4 linked regions of the Rattus norvegicus genome follow. The protein of the gene in region 3 interacts with the protein of the main gene of each other region in a pairwise test. Links are inferred from orthologs where the notes say so. Each region holds a gene or a part of one and is shown on either strand. Other genes may lie near its edges. The genes, in order: Trim9, Zyx, Vasp and Abi2.

Evidence for each region.
Region 1: the proteins of Vasp (region 3) and Trim9 interact in binary tests that used the Homo sapiens proteins (3 or more experiments, as listed by UniProt). The two-hybrid records come from large-scale screens. The link is inferred for Rattus norvegicus from reciprocal best matches to the Homo sapiens genes VASP and TRIM9.
Region 2: the proteins of Vasp (region 3) and Zyx interact in binary tests that used the Homo sapiens proteins (3 or more experiments, as listed by UniProt). The link is inferred for Rattus norvegicus from reciprocal best matches to the Homo sapiens genes VASP and ZYX.
Region 4: the proteins of Vasp (region 3) and Abi2 interact in binary tests that used the Homo sapiens proteins (3 or more experiments, as listed by UniProt). The link is inferred for Rattus norvegicus from reciprocal best matches to the Homo sapiens genes VASP and ABI2.

What each region holds. Positions count from the first base shown.
Region 1 is NC_086024.1:94,497,683-94,502,560, forward strand, and holds part of Trim9 (E3 ubiquitin-protein ligase TRIM9), read right to left. Parts: intron 3,062-4,878; coding exon of another isoform or gene 3,020-3,061; intron 2,621-3,019; coding exon of another isoform or gene 2,597-2,620; intron 1,821-2,596; coding exon 1,517-1,820; intron 1-1,516. UniProt on the Homo sapiens protein: E3 ubiquitin-protein ligase which ubiquitinates itself in cooperation with an E2 enzyme UBE2D2/UBC4 and serves as a targeting signal for proteasomal degradation.
Region 2 is NC_086022.1:72,202,603-72,208,083, forward strand, and holds the start of Zyx (zyxin), read left to right. Parts: upstream 1-1,897; intron 1,898-2,030; exon of another isoform or gene 2,031-2,033; coding exon of another isoform or gene 2,034-2,045; coding exon 2,046-2,253; intron 2,254-2,719; coding exon 2,720-2,922; intron 2,923-3,066; coding exon 3,067-3,159; intron 3,160-3,269; coding exon 3,270-3,764; intron 3,765-5,481. UniProt on the Homo sapiens protein: Adhesion plaque protein. Binds alpha-actinin and the CRP protein. Important for targeting TES and ENA/VASP family members to focal adhesions and for the formation of actin-rich structures.
Region 3 is NC_086019.1:88,049,713-88,055,231, reverse strand, and holds the start of Vasp (vasodilator-stimulated phosphoprotein), read left to right. Parts: upstream 1-2,276; 5' UTR 2,277-2,454; coding exon 2,455-2,459; intron 2,460-2,761; exon of another isoform or gene 2,762-2,778; coding exon of another isoform or gene 2,779-2,786; intron 2,787-5,519. UniProt on the Homo sapiens protein: Ena/VASP proteins are actin-associated proteins involved in a range of processes dependent on cytoskeleton remodeling and cell polarity such as axon guidance, lamellipodial and filopodial dynamics, platelet activation and cell migration.
Region 4 is NC_086027.1:69,319,425-69,324,902, forward strand, and holds the start of Abi2 (abl interactor 2), read left to right. Parts: upstream 1-1,780; 5' UTR 1,781-1,956; coding exon 1,957-2,073; intron 2,074-5,478. UniProt on the Homo sapiens protein: Regulator of actin cytoskeleton dynamics underlying cell motility and adhesion. Functions as a component of the WAVE complex, which activates actin nucleating machinery Arp2/3 to drive lamellipodia formation.

The sequences.
Region 1 (4,878 bases), on a different chromosome or scaffold from region 3:
ATCATCTTACAAAGAACCGTGTCTTCTGATGCAAGTGATGACTGCACAGAGACAGCCAGCCCGGTCTGTCTCCTCTCCTTAGTGTGAGGTCTAGCAAAACAGAATTCCATCTCAGCAGAGCACAGACATTTAGAAACACCACTCCTTTCTCCTGCATGCAGAAGACAGACTGGACACCGCCACGGACGGGCTTAAGGACTACATCTTGCTATATACAAGTTTGTCAGCGACAGCACAAGCCACATTCAGTTTGCATGCAAGGAGATGTGTTCGGCTTCTGAAATGTGCTGTTCTGCATCGTGTGATGGTGTTACTATTGTTTATCCCACCACTCTGGAGTCAAGGGGCTAAACACAAGTGTACAGGTGATGGAATCAGGGATGTTTGGGTCATGGTATCAGGGACCGAGTAACGGAGTCTCCCCTGGTATGGATCGCTGAAGATAATTGCTCTCTGTAGCCACTTGGATTCGATACCAAGATAAATTGCTTTGGGTGCTCAGTTCAAGGGATAGCCACTAAGACAGACCGAATGGAACAGGACAGAGAATGTCCGAGGACCGGGAAGCTCTAGGAGTCTACTGGTTAGCAAAGCATCAGTGGTGATCTGACAGGAGAGGCTGAGAGAGTGAGGTCATTATTCTGCCCTTGCTGGGCCTGCTTTCCCTCTGATTTCACTGAACATAACTAATTTTTTTCCAGAGACACCAAAGAGAAATGTATCCTGAGGGTGATTAAGACAGACCAGTGTCATCAAAAGACACCTTTGGCTCCAGAAATGATGAGTGAAATCCACTGAAGAGACCACAAATTGAAAGGGAGATTATAGGGTATATTGAATTAAAATTGTCAATATCTTGTTGATAGAGGGCATTGCTTAAGGAGATACTATTCTCCCTTCAGCAGACTGGGTGCTCTAATTCTCACACTAACAAGCAAATCCTTCTCATTTAGAGCTCTCCGGACTGGCATCTCTAACACCAAGTTTAGTTAATGGCTTCTATTCTGAGAAGCGGTATTGCTGATAATGATAGTAACAAGAATGGCTTCCATTTCCAGGCACTTCCAACGGGAGACATTTTTGCAAATCTCATCTCATGTAGTCTTCAGACCTCTCCTGCATGGAAACATATTATTATATGAATTTGGAGAATTGACAAACCAGAATTCAGAAAAAAAAATTGAAGTACCTTGGCCCCAAACACTTTTGTGGTTAAGTCCTAGGTCTGGGTTTTCCAATCTTGGGTGGTTTGTCTATAAAAGACAGGCCCAGGGATGTCTTTTGTGACCTGAGTGGAATTTAACAATGAAGGGCCAAGCGGGAGGAGAACAACTCTATCTTTATGCATTGTGGAAAACAGTAGAATGGACTGAGCTAAGAGACTACAGGACCTCCTACTCAGTAGAGATCATCTGCTCTGTTTCCTAATGCTGTCTCTATAATAGGCTATCGACTAGGCTCTTCCTCTTCAACCCAAGCCACCATGAAGAAGGCTTGGCGTGGGGCTGCAGGGTACCTGTTGGTGTGCGAGTTGTTGTGCATGAACCAGCTCCGGTTATTGTCCACATACATTGCCCAAGCCTTGTCGTCCTTTCCTAACATCATATCCTTCATCACATCGATGCGAGCCACGCCAAATGCTGGATCAGGGTGGTTGTCATAGCGATCTATGGTCAGCTCCCAGTAGTGGACGCCCTTGGAGAAGCCAGTTTTCCCCAGCACCACCCGGTCATCGTAGCTACTGCATGTCACTGTCAGGTTGTCATTGGAGAAGATGATGTCAGAGTGTGCCGAGCCGGGGTCAAACGCAAACCACGCCACTGGGGACGACAGACGGGGAGTGAGTTATTAGTAATGCCTTGGCACTGCAGAATGCCTCCGGGCACTGTGGCACACAGTGTCGCGTTCTCATGCTGCCATGCAGGAAGGAAGGATCTGGGGCCAGAGTCACCGTAAGTAAGCAGATGGGGGGGGGCACGTCCTGGGAGTTGATACTCTGCACCAGGAACAGACAGAGGACACACGACCGATCCAGCAGAGGTTACCTGGCTCAGACTGCACTTCCAAACCAGCTGATCCGGGACTGAAGTGCCATCAAGTCCCTTCACCTGGTGACTGGCAGGATAGTGCACCAGAGACATAAAGGGTGAGGGGTGTACTAGGACGCCTGTGGAACCCTGGGGTGGGGAGGCTAGATCTACAATCCTAGACAGAGGAGGGATAGAACACACTGAGTGAAACCAGGAAATACCCTTAGGCAGAAGTGTTGGAAACTTCGTCAGCTCTCGTACCTGCTCGCAAGCCTTGAGGCTACAAAGCAACATAAACTAGTTTTCTTGTGCAGCGGTGACCTGGATGTAGGGCGGGTTGCTTCTCTTATAATTTATGGAAAAGTGTTACTCCTAAAGCTGGCACGTAATATACATTGCAGAAGCAGATTGGACACTGGGTGCTGTCCCCCAACTTCTGCATATTTCCTACAGTGGATAGTCCTTTGTTCTCTGAGGGGTGAGAGTGCGGATGGACTACTGAGCCCGCAGTCACTGCACATGCACTTCAGCTCTGCTTTTTGTAAGAGAATAATGGTGTTCCATACCTGCCAACAGCTTTTTAATGTCAACTGTTGTCATTCCGGTGAAAGGCATGGGGGAGAGAAATAGGAAGCACAGTTGACATTGATAAGAAAGCTTGTTTCTCTTGATAGACAATACCCGCAAGGACTCCATTGAGAACATTGCATACACAACACCAGCAGGCCTGCTTGGGCCTCTACTGACATGTACCGCTCAGAAAGAGTGGTTTGCACTGATGCAGAAGGAAAGGGGATGGGGTTGAGGCATACGTTAAAAAAAAAAAAAAGACGGGCATTTTTCTAAGAAATTGAAAACGGTTATAATGGAGTTAGAATGACGTTTGGAGAATTTTATTGACATGACAAAAGCCACCATTTATTTTGCAAAGGAAATTGAACATCACGGTCACATAGGCAGAAGGTAACAATTACAGTAGGTATACTTGCCTAATTGAGAGTAAGATGCAGATTGTGTCTCAAAATTGCAGCCTATAAAAAGATACTAAACATCAAGGCTATGAAGTGACAACCCGGTCAATAAATATTATTTGCATTTGTTTAGAAAGCACCAACCGAATATAGTCTCCAAAGGCCTGATTCATGAAAAAAGAAAAACAAAACAAAACCAAAGCCCTTTTAAATGCTCATTTTCTTTTCTGGATATAAATTGCTTTTGCATTCTTTCCAAACACAAAGGTCGTCCTTTCACATATTGACAGAAGCTTTGTCCTGTGGACTGTAAATGCTGCGGCTTGCGTTTTATTTTCTTCCTGGCTTAACTCTGTGCAGTAACACTTGCAAGCTGAGGAGATCAACTCTTCTAAAGATGAGGACAAACTTGCCCAATAGAAGTGGAAGAAATCACCAGGGAGGGATAGGCCTGCTCTGTGCCAACAGTTTACTGATGTGCCCTTGGTTTGTTGGAATGAGCCTAAGGCAAATGGTCCACAGAGGAAGAAGAGTGGAACCTAGGAAAAGACACCTCACAGTCAACAGTGGCATGGCCTGAGTGTTAGAAAAAGGAAGATATTTACTTTCCTTCTTAACTTGCTTGGCTACAGCACCTATTCTCACCTGAGGGATGGGGAGGAAGGCTGGTGTAGGGGTAGAATATGGGCTTGGAGCTCAGGAGTCAACTTGGGGAGGCTTTTTCTACTCTCCTCTTCCCAGTAAAGCTGGCCACCCTTCTGATGAGACACTGGATCAAGGCAGAGGAGAATGATTCGGACTCAGAGTGTCCTCAGGTGCATGGCCTACAATTTCTGAGTCATGCTGGGACTGCTCCAGGAAATGTGAGTCTTTGGGGGAAAAGAATCATGTTGTTTTGTTTTGTTTCCAAATTTAATATTGTCTTTACAAGTTCATTTCTAAAACCATAGAAAGGACAAGGTACTGACTTGGTAGGGTTTTACGAGAGTTAAGAAGGTAACTTGCTATAGGAGAGGGCCGAGTTAACAGACTTAACCGTTAGCACTACCTTCTTGCTTAGCTTTCTTTATCCTGGGATCCATCCACTTTCTTCCAGCTCATGGTTGATTTTATGTTTAATTTCTGCCAAGTGTCTTTTTGCTTCCTCTGTATGAATAATAGGGGCCCAGTAAGTATGGAATGTAAAAAATTTTAAAACCAAATTCCATATTCAGGTTTGGAAGTAAATTTGTGGAATCTGAATAGGGCTTTCAAGATTTTTTTAAAAATGAATCATGCCTTTTGGAGTCTTTAAAAAAAAAACAAAACAAACATTCTGAACTCTTTTCCCATTAATTTTAACACAACATCGTACATTTAAGATTCAATGATACAACTAGAACCAGGCTATTCAATACACCTGCCAACACCCAGACCCCACATTCCATTTCATTTTATTCTCGAGACAATATACATTACAAAGACTGTAACAGCATTTCCATACATTAGAGACAAGCAGAGGGCTCCATAACAAAGCATGTGGAGAAGCCAGGAGTGCACAGAGAAACAAGAAGAAACGGAAAACACAAGGAAAAAAAATGTCACTTTTCAAGGGAGCTTGAAGTCCCCGCATCCTTTTTGCACTGACATGCTGTGGCCTTCTTCATTCCGGGATGTGGGATGAGCCAAAGGAATAAAATAAAACCCAAAAGAAACGCTCGGAAACGTGAGATGTGCATCGTGTGTCCATGATTACAATATAGCCCTGAAGAGATCCAACAGGTCTGCATTTTAGGAATTCGAAGATTCTGTTTGCTAGACAAAGCTTACTGCAAAGTAACATGAGTCTAGCTTCCCAGGAGTCAACCATAAGCCCTGTTACATCTTGGCTGTGAGCA
Region 2 (5,481 bases), on a different chromosome or scaffold from region 3:
GATGTGTATACCTGAGCACTTTTGTGTCATACATGGTCACACATGCAACGCAAAACACTGGTGATGGAAACATTAAGATGACGGAGAAAAGTGTGGGGCCTGGAACGATGATGAATGCACAGTCATAGATATGACTCAAGACATAAGGTTGACGGAAGGAAAAGGGCATTGAATCAACCAAGACACATTAAACTTGTCTGGCAAACTGGAAGGGAGCATGTGAGGGAAAGCTGCCTAGGTTAACTGGCTGGAAATTTCCGTTCTTTTCCAGCTTGGGACTTGCATGGAGGTAATTCTGTGAACTATATAGAATTTTCAGACATGGCATGCTGTTTATTCCTTCACATAAGGAAGCAGGCAAATGAATTAGATGCCATCCCTTTTACAGTCGAGGCAATGAAACCGAATGAAGAAACGTGTCCGTTGGGTTGGAAACTGGGCTCCCTGGCCTCACTCTGTACTGCATCTCTGCCAAAGGGGTTAATTAACTCGGACCTAAGTGCGCCCCCGGGGCCATCTTTTCAAATAACATACCCAGTTTCTCATCCTAAGTTCCTGGGGTTAGTTTGCATGCCCCTAAAGCACAGTTCAAGGTTTCTGGACCGTAGGGTGCAATAGATGGGGAGCGCCAAGGTTTGGAAACTCAGAAGACAGTGAGAACCTCAGCCAGGGATGACGGTAAAACCAAAGGAAGCACCGGAGGGTTGGATATTGGACTAGAGACTCTAACGCGTAACTCTATAATTTGGACGAAGTTTCCGTGTATAATTTTACAAAAAGAAAAGAAAAAGAAAAAAAAGAAGGGAAGGAAAAGAAAAGGAAGATTAAGACAGTAAGAAAAGCAGACATCAGCTTTGTCAGACTTCTTTCATGTAGCCTGGGGCACAGTCTCAGGCTGAGGAATCCGGTTGGACCAGTGGGGGGCTCCACCGAGCTTTGTCCTGGGGGCCGCTGACAACCCAAATACTCTTGAGGGGCTGGGAAAGGCTTGAAGAGATCCTCAAGGACTGGTCCCCGGAGGCTATTTGGGTCTTTCTAGGTTGTTAGACCGCTCACCCTGACTTCGCCCTTGTACCTTCATTCCTGGACTCAAAGCACTGGACACTCTCCCCGGGGCAACAAATTTGCAGGCGGGTCTAGCTCTAAGCGAATTCCTAGAAGCCTTAAGAGGCAGTTTAGCTCAGGAAGTTAGCATTCCCCTAGAGCGCTTAGGCTCCTACTCACACACTACTGCGTTACAGAAGGCCGGCCTAGGAGCCGGGTGCCAGCAGAGCGAACGTCCCCTCACCATCCCCGCCCACCCACGAGTAGGGTCCCATCTCAGTCCTACGTTCCGGGACTGACCACAGGACACGTGGGACGCGGAGCTGAAGCTGCAGGGAGGGGCGGGGTCAGTCAATGGCAGGCAGGCCCGGGAAGCGGGACTGAGCAGCTTCGGGACCTCTGGGATACTCGCCGGCCTGCACAGCCCCGGAGTGCGGACGGTGAGTCAGTTCTCCAGCACTCGCGGGTCGGGAGGGGGGAGGGGGGTAGGTGGCAGGTCAGGAAATGACATCAGAGGCCTGTGCTGGGGAAGGGTGGTCTGTGCCCGGCGGGGGCGGTGATGCGTAGGGAGGCCGCAGGCGGACCTTTGCAGAGCCTGCGGCCCAGGGCAGGACCCGGGCCCCTTCCTGGGGGAGTTTCCTGCCCGGCCCTCCCTCCCCGGCCTCTCCCCGCCCCCTCTCCGGGCCGCTCCTTGTATGGTCTGGGCGCCGCTCTCTCCCCGCCCCCTCCCTCCCTTCCCTTGCGCGTCGTCCCTCCCCGCTTGGCTAGAAGCTGCTCCGGACCGGGACGCAGAGTCCGTGGACTCGGCGCCGAGGCGGTCATCCGAGACGCGGCTCTCACGCTCCTGCCCGCGGTGAGGCGCGGGGAGAAGCTCCGCAGTCCCGGGAAGGGGACGCGGGGAGGCGAGGGTGGGGTCACCGAGGGGCTCTTGGACCGAGGAGTGTCAGCCCGGCACCGCTCTGCGTAACCTGACGACCCACCCCCAGCAGCCCGGCCTGACTATGGCGGCCCCCCGCCCGCCTCCCGCGATCTCCGTCTCGGTCTCGGCCCCCGCGTTTTACGCCCCGCAGAAGAAGTTCGCCCCGGTTGTGGCCCCGAAGCCCAAAGTGAATCCTTTCCGGCCTGGGGACAGCGAGTCTCCTGTGGCAGCCGGGGCCCAGAGAGCACAGATGGGCCGGGTGGGCGAGATCCCCCCACCGCCCCCGGAAGGTATGCGGCTGGGATTGGGGGCCCCGATTCTTCTCGGGCGCCAGGTTGGGGGTCGGTGGTTTGGGGAATTTGGGGTTGTCTGGAAAGGCTGTTGTGGAGGGGGCTGGGCTCTGGGTGGCTACCCTGTCCTGAGCAGATGTTCTTACCTCATCTTGGAGCTCCTGGCTAGGAGCCAGAACCCTTGGGACTGTTCCAAGACTCCCGCCTGGGGGTAGGAGGCGGGAATGTGGGCCAGGAATCTTCCCCTCTGGATCCGTTCTCTGAAGTGTAACGGGAGCTGCACGGTTCTTCAACCTAGCCCGTTCTCACTCGACCTGCTTCGCCCAGGGCATCCTGAGCCCCTGTTATGGTCTGCACACGCTCTTGGGATGCAGAAAAAGAGTTCTTGGATTAGGGGGTTAAAACAGTAGGCTGAGAGAAGGAACGAGGGCCGGTACTGATAGCCTTCTCTCTCCTTCCTACCCAGACTTTCCTTTGCCCCCTCCTCCCGTTATTGGGGAGGGCGACGACTCAGAGGGGGCCCTGGGAGGTGCCTTCCCACCTCCACCTCCCCCGTTGATCGAAGAACCATTCCCCCCTGCTCCTCTGGAGGAGGACATCTTCCCCTCCCCTCCACCTCCACTGGAGGAGGAGGGAGGACCTGAGGCCCCTACCCAGCTCCCACCGCAGGTAGGGAGGGCTTGGAGGGCAGCTTTGCTGGAGATGGGGTGGGGGACGCCTCCATGAGCTGGAGAGGAGTCTTTAACTCTCTCCCGATGGGAGTGGGACGACAAGGGAAGACTGGGATGGGTGCTCTGACCCCTGACCCTCCAGCCCAGGGAGAAAGTGAGCAGTATTGACCTGGAGATCGACTCTCTGTCCTCACTGCTGGATGACATGACCAAGAACGATCCCTTCAAAGCCCGGGTAAGGGGCAGGACAGTAGGAAAGTCTGGGCCTAGAAGGAGAGGAGGGGATACAGGAAGAGATGTCCACCTCCTCTAAGTACATCCCCCCCCTTCTGCTTCTCCTTGCAGGTGTCATCTGGATATGTACCTCCACCAGTTGCTACTCCATTTGTTCCCAAACCTAGTACCAAGCCTGCCCCTGTGGGCACAGCACCCTTACCTCCTTGGAAGGCCCCTTCTAGCTCTCAGCCACCACCTCAGCCGCAGGCCAAGCCTCAGGTCCAGCTCCATGCCCAGCCTCAGGCCAAGCCCCATGTCCAACCCCAGTCTGTGTCTTCCGCTAATACACAGCCCCGAGGTCCCCTTTCTCAGGCTCCAACTCCAGCACCTAAGTTTGCTCCAGTGGCACCTAAATTTACTCCCGTGGCTTCCAAATTCAGCCCTGGTGCTCCAAGTGGACCTGGGCCACAGCCCAGTCAAAAATCGGTGCCTCTGGAAGCTCCTTCTTCTGTGGGCACAGGCTCCCCCCAGCCCCCTAGCTTCACCTATGCTCAGCAGAAGGAGAAGCCCCTAGTTCAAGAGAAGCAGCACCCACTGCCTCCACCAGCTCAAAACCAAAACCAGGTGAGGAAGCCACAGGCTGAGGCCAGGGGCTGGATGAAATAGGACTGCAGAAAAAAGAGGGCAAGAGGGTGAGGGTGGGGTAGAGAACTAGAGGAGCCAGAGTGGGTGTGGTGATGGGGGAAGTGTAGGGTTATCTGTCCTGGCAGAGAGAAAGTTCTTCTGGAGGAAGTCTGGGACTAGCTGGGGCCTGGGTCAATCGGTACAGCAGCTGGGGTTTAGAAGTAAGAGGATACAACGTTTCCCCTGTGCCTCTGCCCTAGAATGTTAGAGAGGAGAATGAGATCATTAGCCCAACCTTAGTTTTTCCCATTCTTGGGCCTTGACTAAATCCCTAGGCTCCTGGGTTTTCTGAGCACTTCATTGCCTGAGGGCCCATCTAGAGATAAAAGTATAGTCAGCACCAGGAAACACTTGCTGGGCCAGCATCAGCTGAGTGCCAGGCACTGCTCTGTGCTCTGGAGGCTGGGTCTATGGGCTGGAGAGATCTCTCCAACAGGTTCAGTCTTCTGAAGTCACAGGTTCAGGGTAGAATTTCTAGCCTGTTTCTCACAAGTTGTTAGACCCTAGTAAAATTGGGTGAACTTTGAACACACACACACACACACACACACACACACACACACACACACACACACACCACACACCCGTCTTTGAAATAGCTACCCATACCAAACAACGGTGAAGTGCAAGTCAGCTTATCTTCTTAGTCTAGCACATAAGAGCTCAAAATAGAAACAGACAGTACAGTTGTTGCCTGTTAGTTCAGAGAAAGAGATCTTCTGAGTTGAAGGGACTTTCTGGGTATCTGACTGGTAACTGTAAACGTCTGGATGTACTCAGACACAGTGTAGGAATAAGTGTAGCTGGATTCTGATAGCTCAGAATCTGAGTTACAGGGATTTGAAACTATGACCCAGCATGGGGGCTGGCAACTTAGGAACAGCTTCACGAGGTTGGTCTGCCTTCAGGTACTTGAGGACTTGAGAATCCAGAAGGGATTGAGAAGAGGATTAGGTGGATAGAGCTTGTGGAGAATTCCAGGGTACGGATAACACAGGAGGGCTATTTGGAGAACAGAAAGCACAAGGCTCCTAGCAGACAGACTTTGAGCTGTGCTTGAGATGGGTGGAGATTTGTGGCAGAAGCACTAGAGAACAAAATCTCCAGTAGGGAGCTTGTGCGCATTGGAGAATCACTGATGGTGTCTCAGTTGTGTGTGGTTTGGCCAGGAGGACTGGTGAAAAGTAATACTGCAAAGCTTTTCCAGCCGAGGTGCATATTAGAGGTAGGGAGATCTGGGATGCAGGTGAGTTCACTCCTGGGCCACAGTAGTATTAGTTGCAGTGAGAAATAAGATCCATGGATGAGAGCTGTTCCAATGGAAGGGCCTACAGGAGGCTGCAACTGAGAGCAGCTGGGGTGGGCGAACACAAATGCCAGGGAGGCTCAGAGCTGGGTATGTTGAGGAGTAACAATATTACTGACAAAATAGAGAAGTGCAGATGGGGAAATGGTTTGAACGGGAAGAGGAGGGGTCTAGATGTCATTGTGTTGAGCAACAGGCTTCAGGAGCACTTGCCTTCAGCTGGAACTGTCATTCAGCTAATGTGGGACTGTAACACAAGGGCAGGCCTCAAGTTAGAGGTAGCTGACAAGTCTTCCAAGAATTCCAAGAAGTTAAGAGCCTCAGGGACCTTGGGCCACTTTGTGCTGTGCA
Region 3 (5,519 bases):
TAGAGGCTGGCTTCAGGAATATCTTCCTTGATTGTTCTAGCCAGTGAGGTGCAGCAATCAGCCATGTCCTGCTGCCTCCAGTGCTGCTGATGTTAAGAGATGTACTTTCATGTGGATACTGGGGACTCCATACCCAGTCCTAATGATCATAGAACAGGCACTTCACAGTCTGAGTCTCTCCAGCCCTGCTAAAGGAGACTTTTATAGGAAAGAAATTTGCTAGCTTTTGCCTTAGAGAAGGCAGTATAGAGTTTCACTCTTCCCGTTTCACAGATGGGCAAACAGAGGAAAACTTTGAGGCCAAGAGCACACGCAACGTGGCTCTCCTTTAGTTGGATAACTGTTGTTCTAGCTTGGCCTTGTTGAGAACCCAAAAGCCGATACAAATCTGAGCTTGTTCCAGTCTTGTTCCAGTGCACTCAGACCCTGGAGGGGCTCGAGGAATTACAGCCCAGGCCAGAGGTTTTCAACCTGCAGATCGTGACTTCTCAGGGGATCAGAGGACCCGTCCACGGGGGTCACCTAAGACCATCGGAAACTACAGATATTTACATCACGATTCATAACAGTAGCAGGGTTACAGTTATGAAGTGGCGATGAGAATAGTTTTATGGTTGGGAGGTTCACCACAACATGAGGACCTGTATTAAAGGGTCGCAGTATTAGGAAGGTTCAGAAACCACTGTCTTCGATGGATTTGTGTGTGGTTTTGTTTTGCTGTTTTTATTGTTACGCTGCCACATCTGGCCCATTTGTGGTTTTAATTTTTAAAAAAAAATTTACTTGTATTATTTTCAGCTATATAAGTGTGTGGAGGTGGTGGGCATGCGCGTATGAACATAATGCTATAATTTCAGGCAGTTGTTAGCCCTGTGAGTGTTGGGAATTGAACTTAGGTCCTCTGCAAAAGTAGCAAGTATTTTTTTTTAACTGCTGACCCATTTCTATTTGTGTTCTTAAATATATAAGATGACATTAAAGTCACCCTGTAGCCTAGGCTGGCCTCAAACTCGAGATCCTCCTGCCTCAGCCTCCGGGTTTGTGGCAGGACAACTAGTGTACTAGATTTTTCAGTGCAGAATTAAGTGTTTGGCCTGAAGGATGAGGTTTTTGCAAGGCCAACAGGGAGCCAGCATACCATCCAGGAAACAGACTGGCCAAAGGCCACGTGGATTGATTCTCCGTAAGTTTGGGGGGGGGGACCCAAACAAGACGATCATAAGCTAAACCCATTCCCTGTCTCTGTGCCTTAGTTTCTCCATCTGTAAGTCAGGAACTGATGTTTTCTGAGAGTTAACGCCTTTTACCCTGCCAGGTGGAGCTCTACGGGAGGGGCGTGTCCGCATGATGATGTAACTCTGGGCGGGGCCTATGGGTCCCACTGCGGAAGGCTTGGAGGGAGGTTGGGCTGACTCTGCCCCGACGTGTTTGCGTGGAAGGGGCTCCAGGGAGGGTCTTCGAGCCTCTGAGCCTGCGGGATTCTTGGGACGATCCTACTATCCTCTGTGGGCAAAACTAAGCCATAGCTGGGCACGCGTGGGAAGCAGATCGGGGTCCCACCTCCAACCCTTCACTCCTAGTCTATCCTCCACCTTCTTCACCCCCGCCCCCACCCCAGCCGCGACCCGGCGGCGGTGAGTCAGCGGCCCGTCGCACCCCCTCGCTCACTTCCTCCACACCTTCCCCGGAGGGTGGGGGGCGGCGAGGGGTGGGGCCCGACCTGAGAAGAGAGATCTGGGGAACAGAGGATGTACGGAAGTGTTACTTAAAGGTGGAAATTAATGAGATCCTTTGCTTAACCAGAAGAACCCCCGCCCTCCATAAAAACTGAACAGAAGTCCACCGAGCGAGTTGGAATGGAGAACTGGCACCCCCAGATCTCTACTAAAGAATTCCATAGTAGAGACAGCTAGAGATCAAAGAATGGCCCCTTCCCTTCCAACAAGCTTCCCCCTCCAACTCGGGAGTGAGGCCCAGGGTGCACCCCCACGCCACAAGACTGAGAGGAAGGAGTGCAATTGCGGAAGACCTAGGTTCCGCGTTGCCTTTTAAACGGTCTCCATCCCCCGCCTGGAGGCGTCCACGGCCCCTTTAAGGCGCAGGGCATTGTGGGTATGGGGAGTGGAATTTTGGAACGAAATGTAGCAAAGAGAGTACAGTAGTAAGAGTAACCGCGTAGGTGCTGCCGGCTGAGGGGGTGCGCCGGCGAGGTTCGGACGCTGCACCCCGCTTTCCATCGCAGGGGATCCCAGCACATCAGAGCACCGGAGGGAGGAGGCGCCTGAGCACCCGCCCGGGCCCGGTCCACGTTCTCCCCAGGAAGCTGGACTCTATGGGGCGGGACCCCGAGAGAGACTGAGCAGAACCTGGAGCCAGCCCCGCACCCCTGCACTTCCAATCAGGGGCGCCCCGGGAGCACTCCCCGTGGGCGCGCCGCCTGCCCTCTGCGCAGCCATGAGGTGAGCCCCGAACCCTCCAGCCGGGTCCCAGCCGGGACCCGGCTTCGCGCCCCGCCTTTGTCCCCCTCCCCCCAGCTCGTTCGGGGCTGGATTTAGGGGACACAGCGCTTTGAGCGTCCCAGATCTGGGCCGATGTCTCTTGGAGCGATCTCTAAATATCGACACCCCGTTTCTCCACACTACTCCCTAAAGGCTTGGGGCGGTGCCGGCTGAGGTTCTCTTGATGGCTTTCAGGTTTAGGGGCGCTCTCGGGACTCAGAATTTGAAGACTTTTGGGGGGAGCACCTCCGAGTTCGCAGATAAGTAGAACGTCGCAGGGATGAACTGGTATAAGTGGGCTCAGAGTTACTGCCCCCAAACTCAAAACCAGGTGGGAGGCTGGCTTGAGAACCCGAGCCCTGAAACTCTGAGTCTCGGGTTGTGGTCTTCGGACCCTTGCGTCTGGGGCACTGGATGAGAGTCCCAGAGTGGAACCGCGGTCCTTAACTTTGGGGGTACTTCTTGATGTCCCAAAATTTGGTGGACACGGAGGTTCTCTGGTGGAGGGGTTCTTGAGACTCTGACCCACGGGGCCCAGAGGGTCTGGATGGGACTCTTCTCCCCTTAGGCACCCAGGTTGGGTGGGTCCTAGGACCCGGGAGCACTCCAGGCCCAGGGCGGCTCCTGGCCCCCGGGCCAGAGGACGGTTCTAGTTCCACCCCCACCCCCTAACCTGGTGGCCTGTGAGGGAGGGGGCGCGGCAGCTGGGGGAGGGGGGGCCTTTGTCTTCCTGACTCACCTGTCGAGACAGCTGGTGTGGGGGGCGGGCCCCCGAGTGAGCACTGTGGCCAGCTGCTTTTCCCCACACCACGGCCCCTCCCCTTGGGCTCAATGTCGCCGGGTGTCACCCCCCTTCCCCAAGCCGTGGGATTGGAGGAGGGGGCGCTGGAAAGCGTCAAGGTCATAGCCTTCTCCCTCAGGGACCCAGGCTTACCCGCTTCTTTCAGCTCTCTTCCCAGGAATTTAATCCTGTGGGTGAGGGGGACTCAGAGATTTTTTTTTTTTTTAATGTCTTCTCTGGGACCTGCCCTGAACTCCTGGGCTCACCTGAGGGTGGGGCCTGGGCTGGTAGAGGCCTCCCCTCCTCTCAGCCCCAGCCCCCCCATAATCTCTCCCTTGGGGCCACATCTTGACAATACTATCTCCCTTCCTCCACTTTGGCTGGGACTTCCTGCCCCAAAGCCCCTGGTTAGAGGAGGAGTCTCCTGGGGACAGTTTGGGCTTAACCCCCCATGTGCACATCCTTCAGTCTTGCCCTCTGACATCTAGGTGACATTCTTCTCTAGGGCCCTGAGCTAGGACCCCTCCCTCTTTCCCTCCCTCCCAAGTTTGTCCCTTGGCATGTGGGAGTGTTAGCGTCTGGAGCTAGAAGGGGGACATCGAGACACCCTGGAGACTTCCTGCCTGGCCTTTCCTCCCCCGTGGGAGCTCTGTCCCCCTAAAGGGGGTCAGTTCCTCCACTACCCCCCTCCTCTCTTGCTGCCCCCAGCCCCGCCCCTCCCCCACCCGTTTCCGGTCCCAGGCCCGGTGGAAGGCGGATGGCGGATGTCCGAGTTAGTGCCGCCTCACTCGCTGAGACCGTAAAAGGGCAGGAGCAACGTCTAGGCCGGCCCCTTACACCCCCACCCCCAGTCCCCGTCCTTCTGCAGCCCGTCCCCCTCTGGCTGTGGCCAGGGCCAGACCTCCCTCCCCTGAGGGTAGGCACAACTTGAACTGAAGGGTAGGCACAACTTGAACTGAACGAGCCCCCACCCTCTTAGGAGAGGGTCTCCCTCGTCCTTGGTCACTTGCTTGGCTGTGTCACTTCTCCAAGGACAGCTAGGATTCAGAGAGACACAGAGACAGACAGACCCATTCCTTATTCCTTGCTGGGTAAACTGAGCCCCACCCCCCCAGACTTTGAAGCTTGGGTCCAGTGCCCTCAGAGGTTCTTATGCTGTGGTGGGGAAGGGGGCAGGACTGGTTTGACTGGGGACAGCCCTGTGGGGAGTGGGAAGGGAGGTGGTGATTGAGATGGAAAATTACAAGATACAGTTCTTTTTCTCCCAGTTTGACAAATATTTGCCGAGTGTCTGCTGCATCCGGGAGCTGGGAAAAGGCAGAGAAGGGGTCAGAGGTCTGAGGGCTCTTGGGCAGAATTCTGAAAGCTTCACTCCTTTCCTCTTGCAATAACGCTAGCTGCGGTTGTTATTTTCTTTCCCTTTTAAGTGATGTAGCGGGTTCAGTCACACATCTTCTTTCCATTTTCATCTCCACGGCAGTTAAGGGCAATGAAAGTACAAACTTGTGCCCCTGGTCTTACCCCCACTTTACAGGTAGTAAAACTGAGGCTCAGCAATGTTAAGGAAATGGCCTGTTAAAGTTTAATGGTTTGGGAGTATGATGTGGTGACTCATGCCTGTAACGCAGTACTTAGGAGGTGAATGCAGGAGGACCAGGAGCTGGAGGCCAGCTTGGGTTATTGAGTCCCAGTTTCAAAAATGTATAAAAATCAATTTAGCGGTGGTAAGGTTTGAATTTGTACCTAGGATTGTCTAAGTCTAGTAATATTACAAAAAGAAAAAACTAGAGCTGTCTATGTTTTTTACTTACCATTACCATTCCTCCACCCACCCACCCAATAAGGTCATCTTCTGCTACTTGGCAAGTTGGAGGCCAGTCTGGGCTGCATTCTAGGCCACCCCGGACTATTCTGCTTCAGAGACTTAAGAGTTCATGGTGTGTGTGTGTGTGTGTGTGTGTGTGTGTGTCTGTGTCTGTGTCTGTGTCTGTGTCTGTGTGTGTGTGTGTGTCACGAGTTTAATGGTGCAAGGAGATGGTGGGGTAAGGCTGGGGGTGGGTAGCAGTAGAGGGAACTGCCAGTATTTGGCCACCTCTGTCCCCAGAGGCTTCCTCCCTCTTAGTTCCCTCCAGCTGCCCAGGTGGAGTTTATCAGCTGCAGGGTTGTGGGTTCGGGACTCAGTGTGTTGGGAACTCCCCGGCTGGGAAACCGAGGCACTGTACATGAAGCTACACAGAAGG
Region 4 (5,478 bases), on a different chromosome or scaffold from region 3:
TTTTTTTTTTTTTTGGTTCTTTTTTTTCCGGAGCTGGGGACCGAACCCAGGGCCTTGTGCTTCCTAGGCAAGTGCTCTACCACTGAGCTAAATCCCCAACCCCGGTTTTTTTTTTAACATTAAAAAATTCTTTAAGGGGCTGGAGAGATGGCTCAGCGGTTAAGAGCACTGACTGCTCTTCCAGAGGTCTTGAGTTCAAATCCCAGCAACCACATGGTGGCTCACAACCATCTGTACTGCAATCCCACACCCTCTTCTGGTGTGTCTGAGGATACCAACAGTGTACTTATATACATTACATAAATAAATCTTTAAAAAATTCTTTAAAAGTTTTTTTTTTATTTATGTGTGTGTTTCTATGTGAGAATATGCCACATGAGTCCACCAGTGGATGCCAGAGCAGGGTGTTGGATCTCCTGGAGCTAGGGTTAAGGGCTATTGTGAACAGTATGACAGGGATGTTAGGAACCAAACTCTGGTCCTCTGGAAGAGCAGTTCATGCTCTTAACTACTGAGCCATTTCTCCAGCCCAACACAGGTTTTTGATCTACTGAAGTTTGTCTAAGAGTCTGATCTGAAGTTTGGAGTTTGTTTTCTTCAGCTGTTTGTACTTTCATTTCCTGAACTAAGTGTATGTGCCCTATACATAACTATCTCCCTATATACTCTTTAGGTTTCTCTTCTTTCCCCTCCAGCTCTCCCTTTTGTTTTTCACAAGCTTCTCACACTTAGAACATTCACGCTAAGACAGGTGTCTAAAGTGGTCAACAATAGATCCAGCTGGACCATATCATCATTTAAAAATACTGTTTTAGGCTCTGCTACAAAAGCTCACACACACTGGTAATGTATTTATCATAAAGCTAATGTAACAACACAGGGTTTACTCCACAATTGTGGGGCAATCATATTTATGAAAAAAGATTAGATATACAGATTACAAGATCAGAATGAACTACCTTGAATTTTTGTAGTACTTAATCTGAAAAACGCACATTTGTCAATGTGTGTTTTTTAATTTTATTCATGCGACAACCATGTGAATAAAGAAATTAGTACCAGCAAAGCTACCATCGAAATTTTGAAAAAAGTCAAGTGAGAAGGAGGCCCAGGCTGGGCAACTACAACTTGTAGCTGTAATTCTAGCCAGCTCAGTCTACACTGGAGATCATGCCAAGAAGTGGGGACAGGGGGAGGAAGGGAATGAATGAATGAATGAATTGGTTTGGGATTAGGTAACAGTAATTTGTAAAGAAGACGATGAGGTCCAAGGTGGCATTTAGAGCTGCTTGGAAGTTCAGTGGCTCTGCCTGTTCTGATGAGGTGTTATATTTCACAGAGCTTGTGAAGGGGCTGTGTCCTCTCCCTAGGCCTCCACAGGGGCCTGGAAAGCTTCCTTAGGCAGATGACCTCCACAGGGTTCCCGCCCCGGGTGCAGCGCAGAGGTGAAGATGGGGGGCGGCGGCGGGAAGCAGCAGTGGGCAGCGGGAAGCAGCAGGGAGCGGCGGCCCATTCCCGCCCGGCTAACAAAGGCTACTGAGGACTCCCAGAGCCTGGAAGGCCGCGCGGGGCCGAAGGGTTAACCGGGAGCCCCGCTCCCGCGCGCATCCCGGCCCCCGCCCTCCCGTCGCTAGGAGACGCCGGAAGTGGGGGAGGGGCGGCGCGGGTGGGAATCTTTTTCGGGCGCTCGGGGGCGGAGGGAGGGGAGCGCGCGTGCGCGCGCCCGTCCGTTCGCCCGTCGCCGCGGTGACCGTCCTCGCGGCCTGTCGGCTCGCGCCCCGCCTCCGTTCCCGCCGCCCCCTCCCCTGTCGCGCGCCGTGGGGGGTGCAGCTCGCTCCTCCCGATTCCCGCCGCGTTCGCCGCTGCTCCTCCTCTCCCGGGCGTCGCGGCCGCTGCCTCTGCGGGCTGTATGAGGAGGAGTAGGAGGAGGAGGAGGAGGAAGAGGAGGATGTGAAGATGGCGGAGCTGCAGATGCTGCTGGAAGAGGAAATCCCGGGGGGCCGCCGGGCTCTCTTCGACAGCTACACGAATCTGGAGCGGGTGGCCGACTACTGCGAGAACAACTACATCCAGGTGCGACGCGGCCCCTCGCGCGGCGCGGCGCGATAGGACGTGGGGTGTGAGGGGCGCGCGGGGTGACGGCGGGCTGAGGAGGCCGCGCGGTACTAGGTCCCGGGAGCGGCGCCGGGGTGGAGACGGGGCGAGGGCGGCGGCGGCTGGAGGAAACGGGGTCCGCAGAAGGCCCCAGCAGCCCCGTGCGAGTCCCCAGTGCGGTGCGGTGCCGTGCGGTGCGGTGCGTGGCGTCCCGCCCCCTCGCCTCTGCCCCGTCGCCCCCGCTGTCCTCTCCTGTCAGTGTTCCGGATGGCGGGGGAGGTGGAGAGTGGCATTTTCTGTATAACGGAATCTTGCTGGATGGCAGGCTTGTGTGGATCACACAAATTCCGAGGGATCTTTTTTGAAGGGGTCCTATTCCTGCAAACTGAAATGCCTCACTTCTCCATTCCTGCGAATGTACCCTGAAGACAAAACAAAAATTCTTAACCCTTAAGTTTAAACTTAGGTTGTAAAGGGGACATGGTGGAAAGGCTGTCTCTTATTGCAAGTTAATACCATTTTTTTTTTCTTCCCTGTGGGAAACTGATAATGAGCTGCTTTTCCTTCCCAGTTCCCGTTAGAATAGGTGATTTTCCTTTGGGAAAAAGAACTATGACTATTTCCATAAAGAATCAGGGAAACGAACCACATGGTTTAGGTTTTTTTCCCCATGATGGTTGGTTTGGCACAGGGACTCCTCTGTGTGTGTGTGTGTGTGTGTGTGTGTGTGTGTGTGTGTGTGTGTGTGTAGGAAGGTGAGGAGGGGGGCGGGGCATTGGTGAGATGAGAACCAGCTGGTCATGGGATAAATGTAAAAATTTTGTGGATTAAAACAACACTTTAAAAATTAACTCATGGTTTGCAAATCTAGTATCTCGTTTTCTGTAGGGCTTATACTGAATTACAGGTTGTGCCTACATTTTTTTTCCCCACTCCCATTTAAATTCTTTGGATAAAGTGGAATGTAAGCATGGTGTTAAACGATTACCCATATTTTAATGTTCTTGTTCCTACCTCCGTCTCTGCAGGTCTTCTTAACAACAGTTGTATTGGAAAACATTCTCAAATCTTACTATGAATAAAAAAAAAAAAGAACCAGATGCTGGAATTTATAGGTTCTTAAGATTTTTGAGGACCATGTTGTTAAAGAAAATGTGCTTAGATTTTATTTGGTTATAAATGTACTGAGTTCTATTATGTTGTAAGCATTTGGAGGTTTTTTTTGCATTTTTATTAGATATTTTATGTATTTATATTTCAAATGTGGCCCCCTTTCCAGTGTTGTAAACATTTGTATTGAGAGTGAATCAGACATAATTGAATCTTCTCCCCTTAAAGAAGTGGTGGAAAGTGTGTGTTCAGTAGAAAGGGTGTGTGTCTTTGGTCAAAGATAGACCACAGTCCCTCACAAATGTCTGTCAGATCATTTACTAATACAGAGCTATGTAGGAAGTATTCAAAAGTTTTATCGCTTGATTTCCAGTCTTCTTTGGCCCAGAACTGTCGGTGGTGGTACACCCCTAAACTCTTAAGGGGTTTATGATATAGTTCAAGAGACAGATCTGTGAGTGAATCCATAGTAATACGATGATGTGCTATCAGCCCTTCTTGTTGGAGAAAGAAATAGTCTTTCTTTTTCTTGTCATTCCCAAAGTGTAACAACTACTTAACATGGCATTTACATTTTATTAGATAGTGTAAGTAATGTATAGATTTGAACTATGGGGAGGATGTGTAATAGATTGAATGTAAATATTATGCCATTATATGTAAAGGACTTCACCATCCAAAGATGGGGTTGGAGTGGGGATTGGGGTGGAGCAGAAGTGTGTCCTAGAACTAATCCCTATTGTATACTGAGGAACAAGAATAGTTAATTTATACTTGGTAGGGAATTGTGCGCAGAAAGGTGATGCTTATTATTTTCAGGGAGTCACAGCTGCTAGGAGAGGCAAAACCTAAACGACCCAAAGGGCTTATTCTGATGCCTTGCATAGCATATTATGAGAAAGTCTTGTCTGTCAGAAGAGAAATTGGGGAATGGAAAAGTGATTAGATTGCAATTGTGGCCAACTAATAAGAAAAAGGTTTTTGAAAGATGAATGTTACCATAATTTGAGATTATAATGCCACATAAAGGGAAAGTACATGAATGGATAAAGTGGAGAGGTGGAAGAGATCACTTTTGTCTTAGCATTTATAATTCTAGCCTAAAGAGTAACAAAGCTCGTGTGTTATTTATACGTTTTCAATTTTGGTGTTGGGGGCTGTTTTGTGCATGCTGAGAATACAGGCTACCACTGAATTATGTTCCTAACCCACTGTAAAATTACAAATACTTATTTTTTAGAAATGGATTTTGAATTTTAAGCCATCTGTTATTTTAAATTCAGTATGTGAGGTAGAGTTTACATATTATTATTTCTTAGGTCGTCCTCCGTTGTGGGAGTCACTGGATTTATTACTGCAGTACTTTCTCAGGATGATATTTCTTACATGATTTGTTTGTAGTACATTGATAAATAAAACTGGTGATAGTTGATTTGTGCAGTGCCAGCTGTACATTTGGCTGGTTCTTGTGATGGAAGGACTGACCAGCAAGGGTCCTGATGCTGTCTGTGACCCTGTAATACATGAAAGTTAATTGGCAGGATCACTGAGCAAATGGTCAATTAATCTTTTTATGGTGTTGTTGTGTCTTAGTTTCTAGAAGTAGTCAACTAAACCAACAGGATTTTATTGTATGGAACTGTAACTTTTTTTGGGAGCGGGAGGAGATTGAGACAGGATTTCTCTGTATAGTCTTGGTTGTCCTGAAACTAGCTCTGTAGACCATGCTGGTCCTGAACTCAAAGAGAGTACCCTTGCCTCTGCCTCTTGAGTGCTGGCATTAAAGGGGTGGCCACCAACAAGCAGCTGAAATGGAACTTTTAAGGCAAAAAATAATATATGTTGATGGCATATAATTGTTGTTATTAAGTGTTAAGTATCTGTTTTTTTTGTTTAGGAAATAAACTAAGTAAATAAATATACACTAATTGTTAATTATAATTAGTGTGAGATTTGAGCAAAAGGAAAGGAACTCAGAGATACTCCAGATAGAGAAATGTACATAAATGTAAATATTTACTTTCTAGGATACAGTGAAGTTAATATTGGAATTTTAAATGTTATGATGGTCAATAAAGTCTTAAGAGTTTTATAAACTTCTGGGAAACATAGGCAAATTGCTTTTCTAAAGTGTGATGACAAAAATTATGACTATAGTTTGTTCGCTAATACTTTTAAAGATGATTTTGTTGTTTGTTCCTCGAGACTATGTTCCCTGTGTTGTCTGTGCCTGACTTGAACTTGTGTTCTTCCTGCTTTTGGGGACTAAATGCA